Cricetulus griseus: one gene and its partners. The protein of the gene in region 1 interacts with the protein of each later gene in a pairwise test. Links are inferred from orthologs where the notes say so. Each region holds a gene or a part of one and is shown in the gene's direction. Other genes may lie near its edges.

Evidence for each region.
Region 2: the proteins of Gcc1 (region 1) and Cep70 interact in binary tests that used the Homo sapiens proteins (3 or more experiments, as listed by UniProt). The two-hybrid records come from large-scale screens. The link is inferred for Cricetulus griseus from reciprocal best matches to the Homo sapiens genes GCC1 and CEP70.
Region 3: the proteins of Gcc1 (region 1) and Golga2 interact in binary tests that used the Homo sapiens proteins (3 or more experiments, as listed by UniProt). The two-hybrid records come from large-scale screens. The link is inferred for Cricetulus griseus from reciprocal best matches to the Homo sapiens genes GCC1 and GOLGA2.
Region 4: the proteins of Gcc1 (region 1) and Cep57 interact in binary tests that used the Homo sapiens proteins (3 or more experiments, as listed by UniProt). The two-hybrid records come from large-scale screens. The link is inferred for Cricetulus griseus from reciprocal best matches to the Homo sapiens genes GCC1 and CEP57.
Region 5: the proteins of Gcc1 (region 1) and Birc2 interact in binary tests that used the Homo sapiens proteins (3 or more experiments, as listed by UniProt). The two-hybrid records come from large-scale screens. The link is inferred for Cricetulus griseus from reciprocal best matches to the Homo sapiens genes GCC1 and BIRC2.
Region 6: the proteins of Gcc1 (region 1) and Znf276 interact in binary tests that used the Homo sapiens proteins (3 or more experiments, as listed by UniProt). The two-hybrid records come from large-scale screens. The link is inferred for Cricetulus griseus from reciprocal best matches to the Homo sapiens genes GCC1 and ZNF276.
Region 7: the proteins of Gcc1 (region 1) and Amotl2 interact in a two-hybrid assay, tested with the Homo sapiens proteins (2 studies listed by BioGRID and IntAct). The two-hybrid records come from large-scale screens. The link is inferred for Cricetulus griseus from reciprocal best matches to the Homo sapiens genes GCC1 and AMOTL2.

Annotation. Positions count from the first base shown.
Region 1 is NW_023276806.1:199,375,520-199,378,269, forward strand, and holds the end of Gcc1 (GRIP and coiled-coil domain-containing protein 1), read left to right. Parts: coding exon 1-950; 3' UTR 951-2,250; downstream 2,251-2,750. UniProt on the Homo sapiens protein: Probably involved in maintaining Golgi structure.
Region 2 is NC_048597.1:207,720,005-207,723,504, forward strand, and holds part of Cep70 (centrosomal protein of 70 kDa), read left to right. Parts: intron 1-2,770; coding exon 2,771-2,941; intron 2,942-3,500.
Region 3 is NC_048599.1:144,032,367-144,035,866, forward strand, and holds part of Golga2 (golgin subfamily A member 2), read left to right. Parts: intron 1-778; coding exon 779-817; intron 818-1,044; coding exon 1,045-1,107; intron 1,108-1,191; coding exon 1,192-1,285; intron 1,286-1,377; coding exon 1,378-1,484; intron 1,485-3,500. UniProt on the Homo sapiens protein: Peripheral membrane component of the cis-Golgi stack that acts as a membrane skeleton that maintains the structure of the Golgi apparatus, and as a vesicle thether that facilitates vesicle fusion to the Golgi membrane.
Region 4 is NC_048597.1:127,272,900-127,276,399, reverse strand, and holds part of Cep57 (centrosomal protein of 57 kDa), read left to right. Parts: intron 1-29; coding exon 30-107; intron 108-2,009; coding exon 2,010-2,123; intron 2,124-2,834; coding exon 2,835-2,912; intron 2,913-3,500. UniProt on the Homo sapiens protein: Centrosomal protein which may be required for microtubule attachment to centrosomes. May act by forming ring-like structures around microtubules. Mediates nuclear translocation and mitogenic activity of the internalized growth factor FGF2, but that of FGF1.
Region 5 is NC_048597.1:122,200,282-122,203,805, reverse strand, and holds the end of Birc2 (baculoviral IAP repeat-containing protein 2), read left to right. Parts: intron 1-1,761; coding exon 1,762-2,016; intron 2,017-2,244; coding exon 2,245-2,286; intron 2,287-2,371; coding exon 2,372-2,565; 3' UTR 2,566-3,024; downstream 3,025-3,524. UniProt on the Homo sapiens protein: Multi-functional protein which regulates not only caspases and apoptosis, but also modulates inflammatory signaling and immunity, mitogenic kinase signaling, and cell proliferation, as well as cell invasion and metastasis.
Region 6 is NC_048596.1:199,920,088-199,924,203, forward strand, and holds the start of Znf276 (zinc finger protein 276), read left to right. Parts: upstream 1-1,316; 5' UTR 1,317-1,799; coding exon 1,800-2,016; intron 2,017-2,918; coding exon 2,919-3,222; intron 3,223-3,456; coding exon 3,457-3,503; intron 3,504-3,591; coding exon 3,592-4,038; intron 4,039-4,116. Other genes in the region: Vps9d1 (VPS9 domain-containing protein 1), read right to left, coding at 1,100-1,198. UniProt on the Homo sapiens protein: May be involved in transcriptional regulation.
Region 7 is NC_048597.1:210,972,776-210,975,973, forward strand, and holds the end of Amotl2 (angiomotin-like protein 2), read left to right. Parts: intron 1-58; coding exon 59-232; intron 233-933; coding exon 934-992; 3' UTR 993-2,698; downstream 2,699-3,198. UniProt on the Homo sapiens protein: Regulates the translocation of phosphorylated SRC to peripheral cell-matrix adhesion sites. Required for proper architecture of actin filaments.

The DNA of each region.
Region 1 (2,750 bases):
AGATAATGCCCAGCTCAGAGGCTGCTGATGGGGAAAAGGCTACTGCACTCTACTACCAACAGGAGCTGAAGCAGCTGAAGGAAGAGTTTGAGCGCTACAAGATGAGAGCCCAGGTCGTGCTCAAGAACAAGAATACCAAAGATGGGAGCCTGGCGAAGGAGCTGGAGGCAGCACAGGAACAGCTTGCTGAGCTGAAGGAGAAGTATATCTCCCTGCGGCTGTCCTGTGAGGAGCTTGAAAGCCAGCACCAGCAGGAGGCTGAGGACTGGAAGCAGGAGCTGGCCCGGCTGCAGCAGCTCCATCGGCAGGAACTGGAGCATAGCCAGCTGGACTTCAGGGACCGCACACTGAAACTGGAGGAGGAGCTGCATAAGCAGCGGGACCGGGCCCTGGCCGTGCTTGCCGAGAAGGACTTGGAGCTGGAGCAATTGCGTTCCGTGGCCTTGTCCTCTGGGTTGCCAGGGCGCAGGAGCCCTGTGGGTGGAGTGGGTGGTGGAGGTCTTGGGGACCCTGCTGACACAGCTTCCTCAGATAGCCTGACCCAAGCCTTGCAGCTCGCTGCAGCCAATGAGCCCACTTTCTTCCTTTATGCTGAGCAGTTGGCCCGAAAGGAGGTGGAGATCACCTCACTGAGGAAGCAGAAACACAGGCTGGAGATGGAGGCCCACCAGCTGCAGGAAAAGCTACTGGAGGAGGGGGAGCGGCACCGAGAGGAGGTTGGAGCACTCCAGAGCCACATTGAAAAGAACATCAGGGACCAGAGCAGGGAAGGAGCCAACCTGGAGTATCTCAAAAACATCATCTACCGCTTCCTGACCTTGCCGGACAGCCTGGGCCGCCAGCAGACGCTCACAGCCATCCTGACTATCTTACACTTCAGTCCCGAGGAGAAGCAAGTGATAATGCGGCTCCCAAGTGGCGGGGGCTGGTGGCCTTCTGGCAAGAGATGATGCCTTTTGCCAACTCCTGAGATCTCTGTGCCTCTTTTATGTGGGAAGGGCAGGCTCAGATTTTTACGCCTCGTCTCTCACATTCTCACTTATTTCTTCACTGTGTTGAACTCACAGCAGTTCAAAGTAGGATGGGGTTTTCTGCCAAGTGCCATTAATGCAACCCTATTCTTGGGCTCTAGGGATACTGCAGGTGTTGAGACAGCATCTTCTGGGGGTGTGTATGTGGAGCAGAGTAGGGAGAGAGGCTGGGGCTAAGAAGTGCAAGTTAGGGAAGTGGTGAGAGTCTTTAGGAATAAGATGTTTTATTATGCTCCTAGCTCGGAGTTAGGAGTAATGTCACTCCCAGAGGAGCTCATCTGACTTTGGAACATACACAATAACTATGTGTGTATTTCTTGTCAGAGTCTGGTCTACTTTTGTCCTAATTTTTCTGGGGACATAAAATCAAGCTAGAAAGAGACCAGGAAGTTAGAAATAGTAAAGGTTTGTCCAAAGGGCTGTGGCATGGTAGAGTTCATCCCAGAACTTGGAACCTTGGTTCCAGGGACCAGCCCACCATTCGTGACCATCCTAGAGAGGGTCCTGAGCACCGATGTGACCTCAGAGATTTCCCAAGTGATCTGATATGGGCCAGGACGGGATTAAAAAGAAACCTCTTTTGCTCAAGCTGTCTGCCTAAGGTCAGCCCGAGAGTGAGAGTCAGTGACTTTACTGTCTTTCCATCAACATTGAACTTGAATTAAGAAATGAAACCCTAGCTTCTTACAGAGCATTCAGACAGTAAGCTAGGAGCCTCCTTGGACACAAGGAATTCCTGCCATGATAAGTTCCCAGCTGTTTGCTTTTGCAGGGACAGGAAAGAGGAGGTAATTTGCTGCAGATTCCAAAAGATTGCTATGACCCTCACAGGAAAAGTGACATTCAGTTGAAATACTTTGCGCCCTGTGAGTGTTGGCAAAGGTTAATTCTCTCCTTTAAGGAAAGATAGCTCTCAGAAAACTGAGGTCAAAGCAGTATCAGTTGCCCAATTCTTTTCTTTGCTTAGTCTGCTCTTCCTGGTTATAAAGACCTTTGGACCTAAAAGACCAATGTTGGAACATTAATATGTATTTTTTTTTGTTTTTGCTATTTTTGTTATGGAGATCTATTTTGCAAAAGTTTGGGGTACAGAAGACTTCAGTTAACAATGTTTTGGATGGGCAGAGGTGACCTGATTATCTTCATGAGCAGACTTGAATGGGACAAAAGTGCTATCTTTATGGTAATACCAATGGTCATTAAACCTGAGTGACTTGAACTGTGTTTCTTTAATGGTGGTGTCTCTACATCTGAACACAAGTAGAGTATGAATGTAAATGGCGAATGAGAAGGCTAGATATATATAGTTCCTTATATTGCTCTCTGAGCTCGAACCCATATTCCATTCTGCCAATCCATGAGCTTGGCTCCAGGGACAAATACCTCAGGACTTTAACTGCCTCACATGGAACAAATTTCTTAGCCTGGTGTTGTGTGTGTGTGTGTGTGGGAGGGCACTGCAATGGAAAATCTTTTCCAGTGGGTTTAGTGTGTGGGCTTGATGTGTCCATAATTACTGCTTCATACTCTAGAAGTAATCTGTGTACGTATGCTTCTTTATCCTTAAAATAAGGCTTCATGATACCCTGCAGAGTTATCTCAGGACATTTACACTTCCTTCATTTCTTTAAAAATAGACTTCTTCCATTTCTTTACCTCGCTTTTCTAATTGTAGGATATCCTGTGATTGCTGTTATTTCTAGGTGGTTCTGGGGAGAA
Region 2 (3,500 bases), on another chromosome or scaffold:
TGAGTGCTAATTTTATGTGTCGGCTTGATTGGGCTTTACATTGCCCAGATGCTTGGTTAAACAGTGTACTTGTGGGTGAATGAATGGCAGACAAATACATTGTACTCCTGTGGTAGGTGGATCTCATCCAGTCACTTACAGAACAAAAAGACCCAGGGGGAATTTCTAATGCATGCTTTTAACATACTTTGTTTGGTTTTGGTTAGTTCTCCTACCTTTAGGTTTGATCCAAAGTGTCAGCCTTCTAGGGCTTTGGAACTACAATTCTGGGTCTCTTCTCAAATTGCTAACTGATAGTCATGGGATTCCATTAATTGCATGAGCCAATTCCTTATAGTAAATCTTTCTTTTTAAAATATGATCTCTCTCTCACGTGTGTGTGTGTGTGTGTGTGTGAGATATTCTAGCCTTCAAGTGATTATACAAGGCCCACTTATATATACACACAAATACATTTCCTGTTGGTGTTGTTTCTCTTGCAAAGCCTGAAACACTGTTTAACACACATTAGTTTTTGTTTGTTTAAAATATTGGTGGTTGTTTGTTTAATTTTGTTTTGAGACAGGATCTTGCTGTGTTGTCCTGGCTGGTTTGGAACTTGCCAGCCAAGCTAGCCTTGAATTCCCAAAGATCCTCTTGCCTCTGTCTCTGTAGTGTTATGATTAAAGGCATGTGACACCATGCCAGGTTTGTTTTAATGTTTTATTTTATTATTATTATTATTATTATTATTATTATTATTATTATTATTTGGGTTTTCAAGACAGGGTTTGTCTGTGTAGCTTTGGATCCTATCCTGGCACTCGTTCTGGAGACCAGGCTGGCCTCGAACTCACAGAGATCCACCTGCCTCTGCCTCCTGAGTGCTGGGATTAAAGGCGTGCGCCACCAATACCTGGCTGTTTTAATGTTTTATAATGAAAAGTTGGGCAATTTAAAATAATCCATTCAAACCTCAGTCAAAAAATATTCTAGCTCATACCTGACCTGTTCTACCATGTGGTCAATGGGTGTGTTCTCCTTGCTCCATTGTTTCTTCTGGTCCCCAAAGTTTGGCATTTCCAGGAATGATAGTAAAGGGTGGATGATGGGTGAGAAGAGAGAATGAGGGTGGCATCTTTCTTTCTGGTGCTGCTGTATTATAGCACTGGTGCCCTTGGTGGGGATGATGTCCAAATATAGCCTGCTTTTCTTCATGGAGTGTGTGTGTGTGCACACATGCACATGTTTAGTTTTGTCCTTTCTCCTAAATGGGGACCTTTAACAACACAGCATTTATTTTGTGGGCAGTGCATTTTACCACTAACTTCATATGAACTCTTCTCCCACCCTTAGGTGCTGTACTGCTGTGGCCCTCCAGCCGTAGACAGCTTTTTGTTGTTGTTGTTTTCATGTTTTTAATCTCTCGTCCAGTATTTCTAATTGGCCAGAGTATATTCTTACCCTATCACAAGACAAAGGGGCAGGCTTCTCTTGCTGCCCATTTCTTCTTCTCCACTGTGATGTTCACATATGGCCCAGTTCATCTTTGCTATGTGACAGACATCTTCTAAAACTTAGTGACTTAAAGTACCCTTTAATAGCATCATGCTTGGACAGTATATAGATCTGCTGATATTGGCCATAAGTTGATAGTGTGTCACTAGAGCTCTTCTTGTGGAAGATGAGTGAACTATAAGCGATGGGGATGAATGGGCTTGCACAGTTCTACCTGGAATTGGCCATGTGGTGGCAGCAGAGTGTAAACAGTGATCTAGACCACTTAAGAACTATTTCCCCCTCTGCCTAGGCATGGTGGTGCTCACTTTTAATCTCAGCACTAAGGACACATAGGCAGGCAGATCTCTTTGATTTCAAAGCCAGCCAGGGCTGTTATACAGAGAATGCCTGTCTTGAAAAAATAAAAACAAAACAAGCAAACTTTTTTTTTTTTTTTAAAGACTCAAACTGGCATGACATTTTTTTTAGTAAATTCTGTGAACCAAAGATAGACCCTAAACCAGCTCAAGTTCAAAGGGTAAAAAAAAATCTCTCCATTTTGGTGGGAGAAGCTGCTTCCTGACATTTGGTGTCAGGGGAAAGAAGGCTGTCTCCCTGCTTTGATTCATAACTTGGAGGAAAATGTTTTTTTCAATTAATTGACATTAATAGATGAGTTTTTAATAGAAGTGAAATGTTGAAACACAAATGAATCCAAAACAAAAACTTGCTTATGAACAAGCATTAGAAGTCAGATTCTCAGCACCTGTTTGCTGTAGCTTGCTCTGGCCAGATGAGAAGAGCAGTGTTTGCTCCTAGCTCTAGAAACCCTGTGCAGATACTCTGAGAGCCCTATCTCAGGGTTTTATAGCATTTGTTGAGAATTATTGGACTGGCTCGTCAGGACTTCTCTGTAGAATGAGTGGGGTTTAATTAGTAACTATCTTTACTTGAAATTTCAACTGAAATTGTGAAACAAATAGAAAGATCCCCTTAATATCATATTTAGCTTAAATATGAGGAGACAGAGTTAGGGAATCATTCAGGGTTAGATAAGGATGTCTAGATGGTTATTAATCTGTGGGATTATAATAGATGCTAACCGCTTTCAAATCTAAATTAATTTATTTAGTTTTCTTTAGAATTTGTATATCTATGCTGATGAGACTTCATTACCACAATATTTACAAATGTCTGAAAATGATGCCATGTTGACATCTGTGCACGCCTTTCCCATCCTCACTGTGTCAGACTCAGATATTTTAACTACAAACACTGTCTGTGTTTACAGGTGCTGTGCAGCATCAATTCAATTATCCACAATCCTCGAACTCCAGTAATTATTTATAAGCAGAGAAAGGGAGGAGCCCAAAACTTGAATAAAGATACTGTTCAGGACTGTGGATTTGAACATCTTATTCCTATAATAGAAACGTGGGCAGATGAACTGACATCCTTAAAGGTAAATAGCTGAATATTCTTTACATGTTTTGAAAATCTGTTGGACTTGGGCTTTTGTTGTTGTTTAACTGTAAAGCTAACAGTACTTTGCTAAAATTGGAATGTTGCTGCCACTTACATATTTTATTTTATTTTATTTTTTTTGAGACAGAGTTTAACTCTGTAGTCCTGGCTGGGCTGGAACTCTGTATATAGACTAGGCTGTCTTTGAACTCACAAATAGCCACCCGTTTCTGCCTCCTGAGCACTGTAATTAAAGGCATGTGCTACCATACCCAGACTTACGCATTTCTAATCCTGTAAATTTGTTGTTATTGTTAAGCTTGCCTCCTCTAAAGCTCTACCATAGAGGATTTTTAGACTTCACCTCCCTGAGACTCTGGATCCCTCTCTGTACATCCAAGCTCTTCCATGCTCTCCCTCTCCCTCCTGCTGATACCTTTGCTGCACATGTCCTGACCTTCGCACGGGCTCAGATGTAGTGTCTTATCCTTATTTTAATCTTCACTGGACTATTTTTCCTGTCTTCACATTTTATATTTCTTTCTCAGAACTGAGTT
Region 3 (3,500 bases), on another chromosome or scaffold:
CCCCAATTCTTGCTGCCAGTCCTGGGCTTCAGTTTCCCCTTGGGGCTCTGAAGAGAGAGACTGGGGGCTCCTGGGACCTAGGGGCAATGGGAAACCTGGGGGCCTCAGTCTCAGCTGGAGGCAGCCAGAGCATAGAGCATGCAGCATGGCTCTTCTCGTTGCTCTCCACCTCTTTTCTGTACTCCAGACTCCTAGCCTGAGTCCTCACCCCACTTGTCCTGAGCTTGGTGCCTCCAGTGGAAGAGATCACAAACCCGATTGGTTGTCAGGAGCCCCATGTCCTGCCCTGGCTTAGGTCCTGATTTGCTCTTTGATTTTGGTTACACCATTCCCTGGGTTTGAGTTTCCTGTTGAGGCAGAGTTGGAGAGTGTCAGAGACCTCTTTCCACTCTTAAGTAGCAAGAGTTTAAAGGCTTACTGAATTGTCAGAACCAAGTGCTCTCCCATTCCTCTCTTGGCTATGCAAGATACAGTCAGTTCTTAATTCAGCACACTGTTCCAAGTCCCCAAGTTGGCAGAAGGTAGTCTTCTTTCTCAAACTCGTTTCTAGTGTTACTGTCCTTTAACTTGGACCCAGATTTAAACCTCTGTTGTATAGTTGTGAATGAGAGGCAGCCAAGACACAGACTGTAGTTTGTTGGGAGCTTGGGAAGTTTGTTGGTTCATGTGCCCATGGGGGTCTGAGCACCTTTTTCAAATCCATCCCCCTGCTCTGTCTTGGTATGGGGTAGCATAAAAGGGGCTAGCCCCAGTCACCTTCCTTTGACTCTTCCCACAGAAACAACAGAACCAAGACACTCTGGATCAACTGGAAAAAGTACTGTGGTTTCTGTGTTTGCTCTTTTCATGGCTGATGGGGTTGTGGGAGGCCTCAGAGTTGCAGATTTTGGTCTTGCTTGATTCTATCCTGGAGAAGACTCACCCCACAGGGTGTCCTCCATAGGATCCTTGATAACCTGTCCTGGGCCACTGGTGGCTTTCTGGGGCTCGTCCATTGCTGGGATTCTGCTTCCCTGCTAAGAACTGCATTTCCCATGCCTGCAGGAGAAGAGGGATTATCAGCAGAAGCTGGCAAAGGAGCAGGGAGCTCTCAGGGAACAACTGCAGGTGAGTGGCCTGTGTGATATCCCTATGTCCCCCAGAGAGCATCTCTCCTTCCTCTCAGCACTTTTGGGGGCTTTTCTTCCAAAGGTTCACATTCAGACCATAGGCATCCTGGTGTCTGAGAAGGCAGAATTACAGACAGCCCTGGCTCACACACAGCAAGCAGCCAGGCAGAAAGCAGGTAGGATCAGAGCATTCTTCAGCCTTGTGCTGACGCCTTGGCAGGCCTGAGGGAGGGTCCCTGGGGCTCCATGTAGACGGCTCTCATTTCAGGAGAGTCAGAGGATCTTGCCAGCCGCCTGCAGTCTTCCCGACAGCGTGTGGGAGAGCTAGAGCGGACGCTGTCTACTGTGTCAACGCAACAGAAACAGGCGGACAAGGTAGGACAAGTTGCCTGTCTGGCCATCAGCAGCTTCCTGGTAGACAGTGAGCTTACAGGACTTTTCTGCATGGTCTAGTGCCTTGCTGCTGACAATTTAGCATGAGCTGTTTGTTGCTGCTTTTGTTGTGAGGTTGGAAGAAGCAAACTGGGGAAGAGTCCACAGCTGGGTAACTGAGGGCTGCACAAGTGAGCTCTGGATGCAAAACCTAGAAGCAGGCTATGACCTCAGCTGGCTGTAACCTTGGCCAAGTGCTGATAGAGGGGATATAGCCCCTGGGCTGTGGAAGTACAGAAGAGCTTATCACTGTGCCACTGTGGGTAGGGTAGTGTGTGTACAATACATGTAGAGTATGTTTGAGATGACTGACAAACTCGGAGCTGGGAACAGGATGACAATCGGGAGGCATTTTGCTTCTATACCCTCTGAGTTTTGGATTGTGTGAATAGACCATCTGTTCAGAAGAGAGCACAAGATCCAAATAGAAATTAACTTTCTTCCTCTTAATTGCAACTCTGGGGGAAAGGGCCTAGAGATTTAGATACCCCAAAATGCTCAAGTTCCATCTCTGCTAAGTGACTTCAAGCCAGCACTTTTGTACACTGTGTTTCTGCCCAGTGGGGGTGACAGCAACTGTTGTCAATGGGTGTGAAGATTGGATAGGTTAGCAGTGAAGTGCTCAGTGCTGTAAATGCCTCAGCCTCCACGTGCTAAGATCAGTCTAAACCACCATGTCCTGGTCCCAGTCTTTTTTCCTGCCTGCTTTGTGCTTATGGAGTTCTTTGTTTGTTTGTTTCTTTTTTTTTTATTTTTCAAGACAGGTTTTTCTGTGTCACCCTGGCTTTCCTGGAACACTCTCTCTGAGATCTGCCTGCCTCTGCCTCCTGAGTACTGGGATTAAAGGTGTGCACCACCACCACCACCACCATCACTTGGTACAGTTCTTTTATTTATATTGTTAAGGTTTATTTACTTTTTAAAAAAAAAAAAAGATTTATTTATTATGTATACAGTATTCTGCCTACTCACCAGCAGAGGGCACCAGATCTCATAGATGGTTATGAGCCACCATGTGGTTGTTGGGAATTGAACTCAGGACCTCTGAAAGAGCAGCCAGTGCTCTTAATCTCTTTTATTTTGTGTGTGTGTGTTGCTTGACTTCATGTATATGCACCTCAAGCATCACTGGCGCCTGCAGAGGGCACTTGGATCCCCTGGAACTGGATTCACCATGTTGGTGCTGGAAACCAAACCCAGGTCTTCTGGAAGAACACCTGGCCCTTTTACTGAGTTTTTCCTTTTTTGTTGTTGTTTTGTAGTCCTGAATAGCTTGGAACTCAGAGAGATCTGCCTACCTCTGCCTCCCAAGTGCTGGAATTAAAGGGTTGTCCCACCACAGCCTGGTTCAGGAGTTCTTATTAAACAAAACAAAAGGAGTGTGTGTTGGGGGGTTGGGTGTTTTCGAAGCACTCAGGAGGCAGCCTGGTCTACATAGTGAGTTCCACCACAACCAGGGCTATATAGAGAGGATCCTGTCTCAAAAAATAAAAAATTTAAATAATTCTTTTTTAATAAAGAGTGAGCCAGATGGAGTGACACATCCCTGTAATTCTAGCACTTGAAAGAGAAAGGCCAGCCCCGTCTGCCTGAGACTGTCTCATAAAACCAAAATAATTGCTGGGAAGGTGACACATAGCTGTGATCTCAGCATGGGGAGGCCGAGACAGGAGGGTTCAAGGCTAGCTTGGGCTATAGTATAGATTCTAGGCTTGCCTGGTTGCTTAGACCCTGCTTCAGGAGAAAAAATGAAAGAGAGCTAGTGTATGATTGGTCAGTGATAGAGTAACTGATTAGCCTATACAAGAACTTGAGTTTGGTTCCCAGCTTTGTAAAAAAAATATTATTAATTAAAAACAAAAACAGGGCTGGAGAGATGGCTTAGCAGTTCAGAGCACAGGCTGCTCTTCCAGAGGATTCAGGTTTGATTCCCAGTTACCCACATGGTGGCTCACAACT
Region 4 (3,500 bases), on another chromosome or scaffold:
ATTATCTGCTCTGATACTCTTATTACTAGAAAAAGATGCAAGAGTTGGAGTCTAAACTTCATGAAGAAGAGCAGGAAAGGAAGCGTATGCAGGCACAAGCAGCAGAGGTAAGTGGAATGGTGAACAGTTAAATAAGTGTTTCAGTGGTGAACTGTTACATATGAGCACACCAGATCTACATGTAGACCTCAAGAGATAGCTTAGTATTGGAAATTAGGAATGTAACTTTGCAAAGTAAAATTTGAGCAGTTCTTTGGATGTTTCAAATTATGAAGTCTGGATTAGTATTTTTAAAACCCATGAGGTTGGAGCTGGAGAGATGGTACAGAGATCAGAGCATGTGATTGTCCTTGCAGTGGACCTGACTGCTTCTCAGCAACCCACATGGTGGCCTACAACCATCTGTAACTCCAATTCCAGAGTCTGACAGTATTCTAATCCTTGGGCCCAGGCACATGCACGTACATAAATGCAGGCAGTTTTGTAATACATAAATCCATGCACATAAAATAAAAACCTGTGAGGTAAAAACATGTCCAACACAGAAGTCTTAGACTCTGTAAGATAAAGTTATTTTGTATTTTAACAAGACACACTTTTCTCTATGGTTATTTGCTCAGATATTTCCTAGTCTCTCTTTTCTATCCTCTTTAAGATTATGCTTATGTTTGTAGCTTTTATCATAGTAACCCAAAGGTCCTGATCTGAGAAGTTTGCAATTAAGCAATTAAGCCTATGGCATCTGTCTAGTGTCCTGCATTCTCACAGCTTCCGATGCAAATACTACAGTCTCTTTCTTTTATTGCTTCTTTGAGTCACTGATTGTATATGCCTATTTCTTATTAAACCTGATATGATTTATAGATTTACTTTTCTCTGTGTGCTTACTGAGTTAAATGGTCACTTAACCATTTTTGATCTTTAGTGAATTTGTTGTGACTTTAGGGAAAACTATTTTAAGATGTCTCTATTCCTTACATGTAACATTGCAAAAGTATGAGGTTTTCTTTATTAAATTATAGTCTATAGTCCTTATATGCTAAATAGAAAGTTTCACAAATTCATTGATTGATGAATTCTTACCAAGTTCTGATGATGAACGCTATGGTAGTGGAAGGCAGGTGGTGAATAATGATATTTCTCTATCTTGCTGTTCTGAACAGAGTATTTAGCCATCCAGATCCTGGATTTTATAGTGCTAGGGAAATCAAACAAGAAGTGATCAAAAGTAGCCCTTAAGTAGTTCATTTGTTACTGTTGACACTTGTTGACAGTGTAAGTATTCCAGAAGGATAATACCCTGTGGAATTATGTCTAGTGTGTCGTGCTTCTGAGGATGGAGAGTTTAGCATTCTACTGCCAGGGACTATGCTGTCCTAAGAGTGCATGAGATAATGAAGGGATGTTTTTAGTGTTCCTTGCATTTCATTCATTACTGTGCTGTTTCTGAAAACTCAGTCATGATTTCTGGGAAACTTCCCTCATTGTGAATTTTTAAACTCTTTGGGGGGAGGAAGCTGGTCATTAGAATTTTTACCAAACTCCAGACTATTTTTGATGTATAGAAAGATAACCACTTTCACAGATTTTTGGAGAGTGGGGCTGTTGAAAAATAGTTTAGAGAAAATTGCAGCTTCCGCCTCTGCCCCCCCCCAAGATTTATTTTTATTTATATTGTGTTTTGCTTACTTGTCTGTATAGAGCACAGTCAGTTTAGAGCTACATGCATTCCATTTCATTCCTGAAGTAGAATCTGCAGAGTAACTACCAGTAGTAGAACAGTGCTTCCAAGCAAGACATGATCAACTATAGATCAGCAGTTCACATAAATGAGAGACTGAAGACATACTGTATAGTCATGCCATTGCTTTCAGTGAGATGACTACCATTGTAGTTATAGACTTATTTATATGGCACCTCAAATGTGGATTGTAACTTTTCTCTTAGATCATTAACTCTGTTTTTTTTTTTTTTTTTTTTTTTTTTTTTTTTTTTTTTTTTTTTTCTAGTTGCAGACTGGTCTAGAAGCAAATAGACTTATTTTTGAAGATAAGACAACTTCTTCGTATGTTGCAACCAACACTAGAAAAATTAAAAAAAAAAAGTCAAAACCACCAGAAAAGGTATGAAAATTGAACTAGTTAGTCTTACCAATTTTGTGTAATAATTTGTGTAAACAACACTCAAGCCATGTGGTATTAGGATCTTGGGAGAGTGAGTCTTTCATTCTTAGTTTCTGTACTAAAACCTGAAGATAAATAAATTTTACTTTTGAATACTTAACCCTGGTAGTGAGGGCCCATATGAAAGCATTGGGAATTACCAAAGAACATACAACTGGGAATATTCAGCTGTGTTCACTACCTTTGACTCTTAAAATGCTTCTTGAATACTGTTCCTCTACTTAACTCTTGATAACTGTTTTGTTAGTACTCTGCCTTCCAAGCAATATTATGAGTCCCAATATAAACAAGTGTTATGGTTTAAATGTGAAATGGCCCCCATTAAGTCACTAGAAAGCAAGCCTTGAGATTCTGAGCCTGGCCCACTTCCTGTCCTCTGTCTCTGCTTTCTACTGTTTGGTACAGTCTAATGAAAATCCACCCAACCCAGACTACTGTTGCCATGTGTTTTCCATGATGAGTTGTATCTTATCAAACTGTGGGCCAAGTAAATCCCTTCTTAAATAGCTTCTTGAAGCCTTGTTGCTATTTGGTCACAGTAGCAAAAAGGGACCGGTGTAGCTAATTATCCAATCAGTAGTTTCACGGTGAGCTGGAATCTTGGGTTAGTTCACCAAATTAAATGAAATGGCTTTTTTTTTCTCCTTCTAGAAAGGTCCTAGGAACTATTTTGGTGCACAGCCACATTACAGATTGTGCTTAGGCGATATGCCCTTTGTTGCTGGAAAGGTGAGTTATAGCTATTGATACTTATTTTTAAATTACTTCAATGTCTTTTTTTTTTTCTTTTATGTATATGGGTGTTTTGCCAACCTATATGTCTGTGTACCATCTGTTTAATGTCCACAGAGGCCAGTAGAGGGTATGGGATCCCCTAGGACTAGTGCTCTAGATGATAGTCAGCTGCCATGTGGGTGTTGGAAATTGAACCTGGAATTCCAATGGAAGATCAGCCTGTGTTCTTAACTGCTGAGCCATCTCCAGCCTGTTTCAGTCTTTAGAACACATTTTAGGGGTTATAAGCAGAATTTGAACTTTAAAAAAAAAAAATCCTTCTGCCTCATCACTTCTGGGATTATAGGTATGAACCACCATACCTGGCTCTAGGAAAACCTTTTAGAAGGCACAGCCTACTATTTATAAAATCAACTCAAGGAACAAGTTTTCTCCTGACTTTGTATAAGCCTCTATAAGTATGGTTGTGAAGTTATTTTTTGTTATATTTTGATTAGTGTGTTTATTAAAAACATTGTTTTCATTGTGAAAAAATGAGGGGGCACCAATGCATGTGGAGAGGTCAAGGTACAACTTGAAGGG
Region 5 (3,524 bases), on another chromosome or scaffold:
GACAGTATATAATGATTTTGATATTTGTGTACTTTTTTTTTTTTAACATCTTAACCTCCCAGAACATGTCTTCTGAGTAATTACATTTTCAACAAATATTTTCATATGTTTAAATATGTAAACAGCAGAGGTAAATAATGTGAAAGTGATGATTGTTCTCAAGGAACATGTAAAAGCTGGGGAAACTTGGTTCAAAAGACAGAATCAGAGAGCTAGCAGAGGGCCTGCAAGACAGCTAAGTGGAAAAGGGTGCTTGCTGTCCACCCTCATAACCTTAGTTCAGTACCTGAGATGCACACAGTAGGAGGAGAGAACCAGCTCCTGCAGGTTGTCCTCTGATGGCTATATGCACATCATGGTACTGAATCTCTCTCTCTCTCTCTCTCTCTCTCTCTCTCTCTCTCTCACACACACACACACACACACACACACACACACACACACACGGTACAAAAAACTTAAAAGCTGTCAGAGACGTGAAGGTTGTATGTGTAATGTAAATTGAGGTATTAGGTTAGAAAACACTTTTGTCCTTAAATAAAGGTAGAAATAGTTCAGGCCAATGAGGTACTTGCTACCAAGCCTGATGGCTGAGTTTGATGCCCAGGACCCACACGGTGGCATCCCATCCCCCACCCCCCACCCCCCAAGGAAGAAAATGATTTTTTTTTAAGGACTAACTAGTTCAGGACAGCCTTATTGTATGACCATATATCAAAATGTTTAAAATTCTAACTTCTGGATTGATACACATTTACATTTAAGTTCTGGCATTTTTTTGGTTAGCAGGTAGGCAGCTCATTCAACTAAACTTAAGGTTTCTTACCTCTGAAGTGAGGTTATCTGTTATGAACAAGCTAGATTCAATTTTTAAAGCTGCACTATAAATTTAGATTTACAAGATGCACCAGGTAATGTAAGGTAATAAAATGCATTTTATTGAACTCTGTAAGGAAGGTGTTGTTACTCATATTTCAGATTGGAAAGCTGAGGTGTATAGCAGGGGGACATGGCTGAAGTGTCTAGACTTGCCTTTGGGCCAGCAAAGTCCATCTTGACTTGTCGCTTAAGCTCTTGAGTGCTGTAGTTCATAGATGGTGTGGAGTCTCAGAAAGGACATCAGCACTGTGTAAACCAGGCTTGATGGTTCATGCCTGTAATCCCAATACCTAGAAGATACTCATGAGGATCAGGGCTATCCTTGGCTCCATTTGGAGCCTGGATACATAAGGTCCTGTCTCAGTAAATAACAAACCAAAAAACTCAACTAGTTTAGGACTGGTTTGGCAACTCATTTTGTGGTCTTTGACAAGCCACTCATGCTGTTCTAAGGCTCCCTCTCTGGAAGATAGTTGGCTTATTTAACTGACATTTTGAATGTGACAGTTTGTGTGCCTGTACTTATAACCAATAAAGAGATATAATACAGATAAAAATAAATTACTTTTTAACTCCATTGTGGGGAAAGAGAAAGAAAAAGAGGGCACATGTTTTACTACTCTCTAAAGTTTTCTGCTTGTTCTCAACAATTTACAGACATGGGTCCAGGTCCATTAGCATTTAGACTTGAAAGTATTTGTGCTGTGTGGGACATCTGAATTTAATGTGGAAGTTTATGATGGCAGTATGGAGGTGCAAACAAGTCATTTTCCTTCCCCTTCAAGCTCCATTTAGTGCCTAATTTGTGCATAGGGGTCATTGGGTATACTTGGGGCCTTTGACATTTAACGGAACTTTTTCCTTGCTTGTTTTTAACTGAAGGTGACTTGTCATTAATACGGAAGAATAGAATGGCTCTCTTTCAGCAGTTGACCTGTGTCCTTCCTATCCTGGATAATCTTCTTGAGGCCAGTGTAATTACTAAACAGGAACATGATATTATTAGACAGAAAACACAGATACCCTTACAAGCAAGAGAGCTGATTGACACCGTTTTAGTCAAAGGAAATGCTGCAGCCAACATCTTCAAAAACTGTCTAAAGGAAATCGACTCCACATTATATGAAAACTTATTTGGTGAGTTTGTTAGGGAAATTATTTAGTTACCAGTAGGGTTTTGTTCATCTCTCTGTTGAGCAAGCAGAATAAATCCAGTTAAAACTGTAATCTTTACATTTTACCTGTTCCAAAAATACTGGTGTATTTTACTGTCTAGGTAGTATTCTTTGTAATATGTAGCAAAAATCTATATAAAAACAGTAGATTTGAAAAAATGAATGATTTTTGTATGCTTTCTTTTTTCAGTGGAAAAGAATATGAAGTATATTCCAACAGAAGATGTTTCAGGTAAAGTACAGTTAGTACTTCAACATTATTTCTGTTACTTTTTAGAAGTTGCATTTTACTAATGTTCTTTTTTGTTCTTTCTTAGGCTTGTCGCTGGAAGAGCAGTTGCGGAGGTTGCAAGAGGAACGAACTTGCAAAGTGTGTATGGACAGAGAGGTTTCTATTGTGTTCATTCCCTGTGGTCATTTGGTAGTCTGCCAGGAATGTGCCCCTTCTCTGAGAAAGTGCCCCATCTGCCGGGGTACAATCAAGGGGACTGTACGTACTTTTCTCTCATAAATGAAGAATGGTTTTAAAGTATTATTGGACACCAGAAGCCATCTGAACAAAGAATGGATTACTGATTCAACCAGTACATTCATGTTTGCTCTTCTTCAGAATTACTCATCTTGCTTCATGAAAGGTGGTATTGTGTATTTAATCTTGATCTGTTTAGTTGAAAGGGAATGTCTATGCTGATAAGCTAAGGGAGTGTGTATGTATAAGGAGTAGTAGTGTTTGCTGTGTGTCATTCAGGAGTCACTGGATTTGGAATTTCTGAAAACTTTAGGTTCAGGTGATGTAGAGCTCAGAGACTCTGGAAACCAGTAGTCCTGGCACTCAGCAGTTAGGGTGCGCCATGCTTCTTGGTGCTTTTTCCTTCTGGAAAATAAGGATTTTTCTGTTACTTGGTAAATAAGATTCCCCTAGTTGTGAGAAACATATTAATAAAGTGTTTTTTAAAGGCTTGCATCATCACAGTGTGTTTTCTTTTTTTTTTTTCTGAGCACAAACATAAAAATAGAGCACATTTATTAAGAGTAGGAAAGCCACACTTACAGTAAGTAACAATGTATCAAATCTCACATAGTAAACACAGCAAAAGAGAGCAACTCCTTACTTGATATTCTGATGCAGTATCTTCAAAGCCTGTCCTTAACACATATCCACATAAGGCATTCATTTCATAGGCAGAAAAAATGACATCATTGAAACAGATTTCCTGGTTTTCAGCTTTGATTATATTCTACAGATACACTTGAAATACAAAAAAAAAAAAATCAACAAAAGCTGAGCATGGTGGCACATATCTCTAATCCCTGCATTAGAAGAAGCAAAAGCAGGTAGATCTCTGTGAAATCAAGGCCGGCTTTCCTCTACATAGTGAGTTCCAGGCCAGCCTGGCCTACAAATCGAGACCCCAACTTTAAAAAAAGAAAAACAGCAAGAACACAATATTCATTCCTAAAATAAATGTG
Region 6 (4,116 bases), on another chromosome or scaffold:
CTAGACTTCAGTGATGGTCCACCTAGGACAGGGGCAGTATCCCCACTGTCTAGACTTGAAGGAAAAAAATGTTTGCATCTGAGAACAAAATCAGGGAATTTCTGCCTACAACTTTTGCATTAGGGAGTTCCCAGCTAGACACATTGGAGCTTAAGTCATGAGGCTTGGTAAAGCATCCTCAGCAGTGACACCATTTCCCACTCTGTATAACAGAGTCCCCTTCCTGTGCAACTCAAAGATCAGTAGTTTTTCCATGTCTTATGAAAAATATTTCCTGGAAGTCTTAGAGAGAATAAACGCTCATCTCTCAATCTCACATCGTGGCTTATGTTGTGAGAAACAACACTCTCCAGACTCCAGAGTTGCAGGTTTCAACTGGGTGACCCCTCTGCCCTTAGCTCTGTGACAGCTCAGGATAGAATGCACTCTGGAATGTATGTGTTTTGTTTTATTCATTGTCAAATTACCCACCTTCAATTAACTCAACACTTCACAGATTAGGGTTAAATGGGTTTCAGGTAGGATTTTGGTCCTGTGGGGAGCACCTGATGCCCTAGAAAACCAACTTGGGGAACTGGACAGACACTGATTCTTCCTCTCCAAGGGTAGCTCAGCTAGCTCTTCCACCTAGTTGACATCCTTTTAATTAGCATTCATCCTCAGTGACAGGCCACACCCCTTCTGTGCCTGCGTTTCTTTACAGATGACCTTTGAAGGCGACTGCAAACAGCAGCATAAGGAGCCAACAGTCAGTGTTTTCTGGATTAAGTCTATACAGTGTCAAGAACGCACACACACTAGCACACACACACGTCTGTCATCTACATCCTGGAGGGCTGCTTCACAGGTCCTTTGCAAAGAGAACCGCAGCTCTATTTCACCGACTCATTGAACAGATAAACCTGAGACCAAGTGCTAGTTGAGCTGTCCGAGTTCCCCGCAGAGCACCCACAGCCGCCCGTCCGGCCGAGAGTCCCCGGGCGGGGTCCCACAGCTGTCGCGCGCGTCCGAAGCGCGGATCCCCTCACACGCCCGCCCTTGCCCACCACGGACCAGGTGCCTCCTCCCGGAGCTGCTGCCGCGCCCCTCCCAGCCTCACCCGGGGTCGGTTGCCGGTGTCTAGCTCGATGGCCCTGTTGGCCAGTTTCATGGCGCTTTGCAGTGGCTTCGCCGCGCCGTCCCCGGCCGCAGCGGCCATGGCGCCGGGCGGGGGAGGCCGCGGCGACAGGGGCGGGGCCGGCGCCTCCAAACCGGAACGTGGGGTGCGCAGCTGAGGGAGCCGCGGGAACAGCACACTGCCGGAAGGGACCCTGACACACTTCCGTCTGCCCCGCCCCGCCGCGCAGATCTAGGTTTAGAGATTATAAGGGGACGGGTGGGTCTTGTCAGCTATTCAGGGCGTACTTGCTCTGAGTCTTGACCAGATAATTGGTGGGAAAGAATCTCTGGTTTTGCGGTTTTCTGTTAAGTGCCACAGCCCGTGCCTCAGTCCGTGGCAGTTTACCCTCCCTGCCGCCCCTCCTTTATGGGCTTGTCGCGAGTTCTGAGCGACCCTAAGAACTCTGGGCTCTCGACACAACAGCGGCCGCAGTCGCTCCGGGGCCGCTTCTCACATCGCTCCACCCCTCGCTTCGTTCCGCTCAGATCGCGGTGAAACGAGCGGAGCCGAGTAGCCGGGCGGAGTGCAGCCGAACGAACGGTACTGAGTGAGTGGAGTCGAGTCCAGTCAAGCAGAACCGAGTGGGCCGAGCCACACCGAATAGCACGGAGCAGGAATCTATCAAGTGGCGGCCGCCACCATGAAGCGGGACCGGCTTGGCCGCTTCCTGTCGCCTGGGACGGCTCGGCAGCGCGGGAGTTCGGGCGGCAGCTGTGGAAGCGGTCGGACTCGGGGTCGCCCTTCTCGCACCGGCGCAGCCAGCGCTGATGGGGCGGCGGCTTTGGCGGCAGCACAACTCAGCTGGGGCTCGACGCGCTCTTGCGGGGACACAGGCGAGGACGGTACCGACGAGGCAGGTGGGTTCCGGGCGTCCTCTGGCCCTGATGTGAGCCTAGTGATTCTGAGAATAAACCAGGCCTTCAAGTTCCGGAGGACTCGGGCCCTCTGACTTCTATTGCAGCGACTTTTGGCCAGACAGCCGATTTTTTCCTGCCCTGTGTCGCTGCTATTTAGTGCTTAAGATTTGAAGTCAGACAGGTGTGGGGCTTCAAGTCAGCGCTCCGTGCCATTTACTCTTAGGGTGCATTGCTTAACTTCTCTGAATCCCAGTTTCTTGTTGGTTGAAACAGACTCACAACCTGTGGTGGCTACTCAGTTAAGTGAACTACTTGTTCCCTGTCTGGCCGAGAGTTTGTGTATAAGCAGCAGCTGGTTAGGGTAACAGCATCAGTGCGTGTCACATTTATGTAGTGCTCTTCAACGGTTTGAGAATGACTTTCCTATGCATGCTGTTCTTTAGTCCCCCTAGGGGCAGGCAATGAGGTGGCATTGTCCACAGTCTGCAGACAGGGCACCTGTGGATGGGCAGTAAGTCAGTTTCTTGAGGCACAGCTGAGACACATTTTCAGGATCAGGATGTGTGAGCAAAAGTTAAGTTTCATCTTCACTGGAGGCATCTGGGGTTCTTTGAAAGGAGCTGGGCACAGTGGCATTGGAAGGCTGAGGGAGAGGATTATGTACTCCAATCTGGGCTACACAGTGAGACCCCACCTCAAAAAGTATTTGAAAGATTTATTAACAGTATCCCTCCAAAAGTTGAGTGTTCAGTGAGGAAGGCCAGCTCCTGAGCCCTGCTGTTAGTGTGTTTAGGAAGCCCATGGAGGGCATTTCTCTGCTTTAGATGCTGGGAGGCTAGTGGGAAGTGTGGTCCTTACATTGTAAGTATCTTACTTACTGTCACATTTGCTTCTTTGCTCAGGAGCAGGCCGAACTCTTGCCATGGGGCACTGTCGCCTCTGCCATGGGAAGTTTTCCTCACGGAGCCTCCGCAGTATCTCTGACAGAGTACCTGGGGAGACCTCAGAGAGACTGTCCCCAGGGGAGCGTGTCTTCATTAGGGACTTCCAGCGTCTGCTGGGTGTTGCTGTGCACCAGGACCCAGCCCTGCCTCAGTTTGTCTGCAAGAACTGCTACACCCAGTTCTATCAGTGCCACAGCCTTCTCAGGTCCTTCTTACAGAGAGTCAATGTCTCCCCGGCTGGCCAGCGGAAGCCTTGTACAAAGTAGGCCCTTGTTGGATTTCTTGGGACCTTCTGGGGTCATCATCCTGTGTTCTGGGTGTTGATGTAGGGCAGTGACTTGTGGGGTGGACAGAAGCCAGTATAAGCCTCTCATGGCGCTGCAGTGAGGTTTGCAGAGGTCTGAGGGTGAAGAGCTATCATTAGAAGTGGAGGGCTCCTGGGGAGGTTTGTGACCTTGAGAGGCTCCTAAACTGTGGCCACACTGATGCTTTGCAGGGTTGGTGTTCAGCCTCCCACAGTGGCAGAGGAGGGAGCATGTATGGGTGAGTGCTGTTCGTGCCAGGGTGGGTATTCCAGGTTGGGCCTAGTGTTGGCCACCATGAGACTGACATCTCTATTGATTCTCCTCAGCTGATCTGATCACCTCGAGCCCTCGGTGTCTGCACAGCTTGGTGGGCTGGGTACATGAACATGCAGCCAACTGTGGGTCTCTGCCCAGCCTCCAGAGGACACTGTCCTCTGAGTACTGTGGCATCATCCAGGCTGTGTGGGGCTGTGACCAGGGCCATGACTTCACCATGGACACAGACTCCAGCTGCAGAGCTCTCCTTTTGGACAGTGCATTAGCAGTGAAATGGGCATGGGGCAAGGAGATGTCACCACGGCTGTCCCAGAGCTCAGAGTTAAACACCACTGGAGCTGCCTCTCAGCTCTGCCAGGCCAGAGGAACCCAAGTTGGATCTGAGACCAAGACACCACCCAGTGTGGATGTGGCCCTGCTGCACTCACATGGAGACTCTGTGGGACCTGGAATAGGCCCCTATACTCAGCCAAACTTGGCTCCCAGTGAGGCCCCAGGTAAGCAGTACCCGTGGCTTATGATAGCACAGGATTCAGTATCCTGGCCAAGGTTGTCTGCAGCAGAAAGTGGATGTC
Region 7 (3,198 bases), on another chromosome or scaffold:
TCGGGGACATTGTCTTCTATATCCTGTTGTATCCATCACCCTCCTTTCTTTCCTACAGACCGTGTACCGGCAGAGGAGCCCCCGGCCACAGCTCCTCTCCCTACCCACACCAAGCACGGGAGCAGAGATGGAAGCACTCAGACTGATGGCCCTGCAGACAGCACCTCTGCCTGCTTAGCCTCAGAACCCGAGAGCCTCCTGGGGTGTAGCAGCCAAAGGACAGCCTCTCTGGGTAAGCACCCTGCCCCCACTTCCCCTGACCCGTATATTAGATGGGGGCTGAACTGGAACACGTGTTTTCTCCAAACTCATCCTCCATGGGAAGCCCCATGGTATGAACCAAGGGTTGTTGGAGGCATGAAACCCTCAATGGGAGGCAGACCTATAGTTGAGAAAGAAAGCGCCTCATCAGAAGGCACTGTGCCTCCTCCAGAGTTTTCCTCACATATCCTGCTGGTCCAGATTTCTAAGATCATGGAGCTTGACAAGTGACCCTGATGGTGATCTTGAGTTGGGAAGCTATTGGAAGAGCCCAGAAAAGAGGAACTTGAGAAGAAGCCTTTTTTCCTTCTAGTCTGATCTCACATTTACCCTTGCATAGCTGCCTGTGTGCGCCTCATGATCTCAGAAAACCACAGGCATGACAAGAATGCTACAGCCTGCTTCTAACCCTGGGGGCACCCCTCCACTGATCACTCTAGCCAGTTCAGAGTCTAAACACAGGCATACTTCCTGAGCCATCTAGGCCCCAGCCGACGGGAGGGAGCAGAGCATTGGGCTTAGTTGACCAAGTTAAGAGGAATCTGAGGACTGGGACAGATTAGGGGAGGGAATCTGATGAAGAAAGATCCTTTCTTACTTAAAATGTGTTGAGCTGAATAGAACAAGTGGATAACACTCACAGCATAGACCTGTTGTCTTGTCTTTCTCCAGACTCTGTGGCTACTACCAGAGTCCAGGACCTGTCAGACATGGTGGAAATACTGATCTGAAGGAAAGAGGTGGTGCCTTGGGGACCCTGACGCCTGGCTTCCCCCTGGCATTCCAGCGGTCGTCAAATGCTGCGCCTCACTTTCTCCAACCATTGATAGTGTGGTGCATGAAGCTCAGAGAGGAACCCTAGAGGGGACCTAGAAAAGTCTGCAGCCCCAGAAGACTGCTTCTTGGCCCATATTCCTCCCATGCTCATGAGGAGGGAAGAGCCAGATTTCCCCTGCTGCCCAAGGTCTGTTGCTGGAGGAGAAAGGAGCTGAGCCCCCTCTGTCCTGCCCATTTGTATTCAGGCATGAAGGGAAAGGGAAGTGGATTCTGATTCCCAAGGATGGCTGAGCACCGATCTGGTGGTCTGCTGGAATAACCAGGCCAGCCATGGTGTTCTGTGGTTAATCGAGGCCCCAGCCAATCCCATCTGCTCTTCACTTCCTCACTGCCTTCTTCAGATCACTAAGACTGGGACTATTGGGAGTGTGAGTCTTTTGGGAACCACCAGCATGCCTCTCACTTGGAGAAGGTTAGAGGCCATTTGAGAGGCCTGCGGAACAGTGTGTTTTGTATATAATTCTCCTTCCTTGGGAACAGAAGACTAAGCATGCTGGTTCAGAGTCTCCTTCCAGGGCTGTGCTGCCTGCCCCCGCTGCCACGGTTCTTGAAACATCTGATGGGTCCACCAGATGTTCTTCCGCCTCCAGTACTTGGCTATGGAATTTGATACTGGTTGCCCTTTCTCCATTTTAAACCCCTGTGTTCAGTGCCCATGGGACTCTTGTCACCAGCCTTTCTGAATGGCTCCACAGCTCCTGTCCCTGGGACATCCTGTCCGTTTGGTTATAAACTGAGCCAGATGCAATGAGCCGCCACATGTGGACATCTTTCATGCCCAGCACCAGGTTCTCTTTGAAGAAACTGGAGAGGTTGTTCTCATAAGTGTGTTAGTTCCCACCGGCAGGGACTGGGAGAGGAAGCTATGCTGTTGAAAAATGGATCAGTGAGCTTAAAAAGACAAAAGTCCTCACTGTGGTGCCCCGTCACAAAAACGGCACCCACGAGGCTGGCTCCTCAATTTCTGGTGCCCCAGCCCTGAAGCAGGGCCAACTACTTGGAATTGGGTGAAGTATCCCCAACTGGCAGCCTACCAGCAGCAGTGACTTTGACTTTGGTCTTAAAGTAACCCCCATTCAGCTCAAAAAGCGATTGGTGGGTTTCAGAGCTTTTGTGTTTTCTCCTTGAATCTTTGGTTGTTTTGTTTGTTTTTCTTTCACTGTTTTCAAGTTCTGTTTGTTGTTTTATTCCCATGGTTCTCTGAGTTTCCTTTTTAAACATTTGCATTTGCTGGGCAATTGCATATTTTTTTAATTCCCCTACCCCTGTGTAAAGCTAAAAAAATACATCTGGTTCATGTGCATTGTTTACAAAGATAAAAGTAAAAAAAAAAAAAGGAGGGAAAAAAGGCAAAAAAAAATTGTGAAAGAAAAAAAAAACAACTTAATATATTTTGGATTAATATTTGGTATTTCTTTAAAGTATTTTTTGTTGCTGTGAACATTTTCTGCCAAAGACCATGACGTGTGTCTGTGTGTTTAAGTTATCATGAATATTTAAAGTGTAAACATGGCTGTTTTGTTACGCCACCCTGTACCAGGATTGCTGTTGCATTCCACTGGGTATGACAGTATTTTAATAAAAAAAACTTACAAGGAGAGATGTTTATATATTTATTCATTTGTTTATTGGTTGAGACACTGTATGGATCTGAGTCTAAGTTTGCCTCAAACTAGAAATTCTCCTGCCTTGGCCTCCCTACTGGTGTCTTTACAGGTGTGTGTGACCCACAGCTACAAGACTGGTTATTTGCAAGGATAAGGAAAGGAAAGAAGATGAATGTTTTAAAGGGTCACCCATGTCCACTCTCTTCAAGGATATTTTGTGAAGTGGCCTGAAGGACACTTGAAATGGCATAGCTGTCCCCATTTCCACACATGTGCACTTTCACAGACACCATCTATGAGAAGGGTAGACAGGGTGGGGCAGCTGGCTGCCTTTCCAGGTAACTGTCCTAACCAATTTTGATTTTGGTTGTTGTAGTAGGAGTGTTGAAACATTACCTACTCTGTCCTCTCACTAGCACACAACCTCTTTGCTAAAGGATCCAGGTGCCATGTGAACCCTGTGATTGGACACATGAAGTGTGTATTCCAGAGT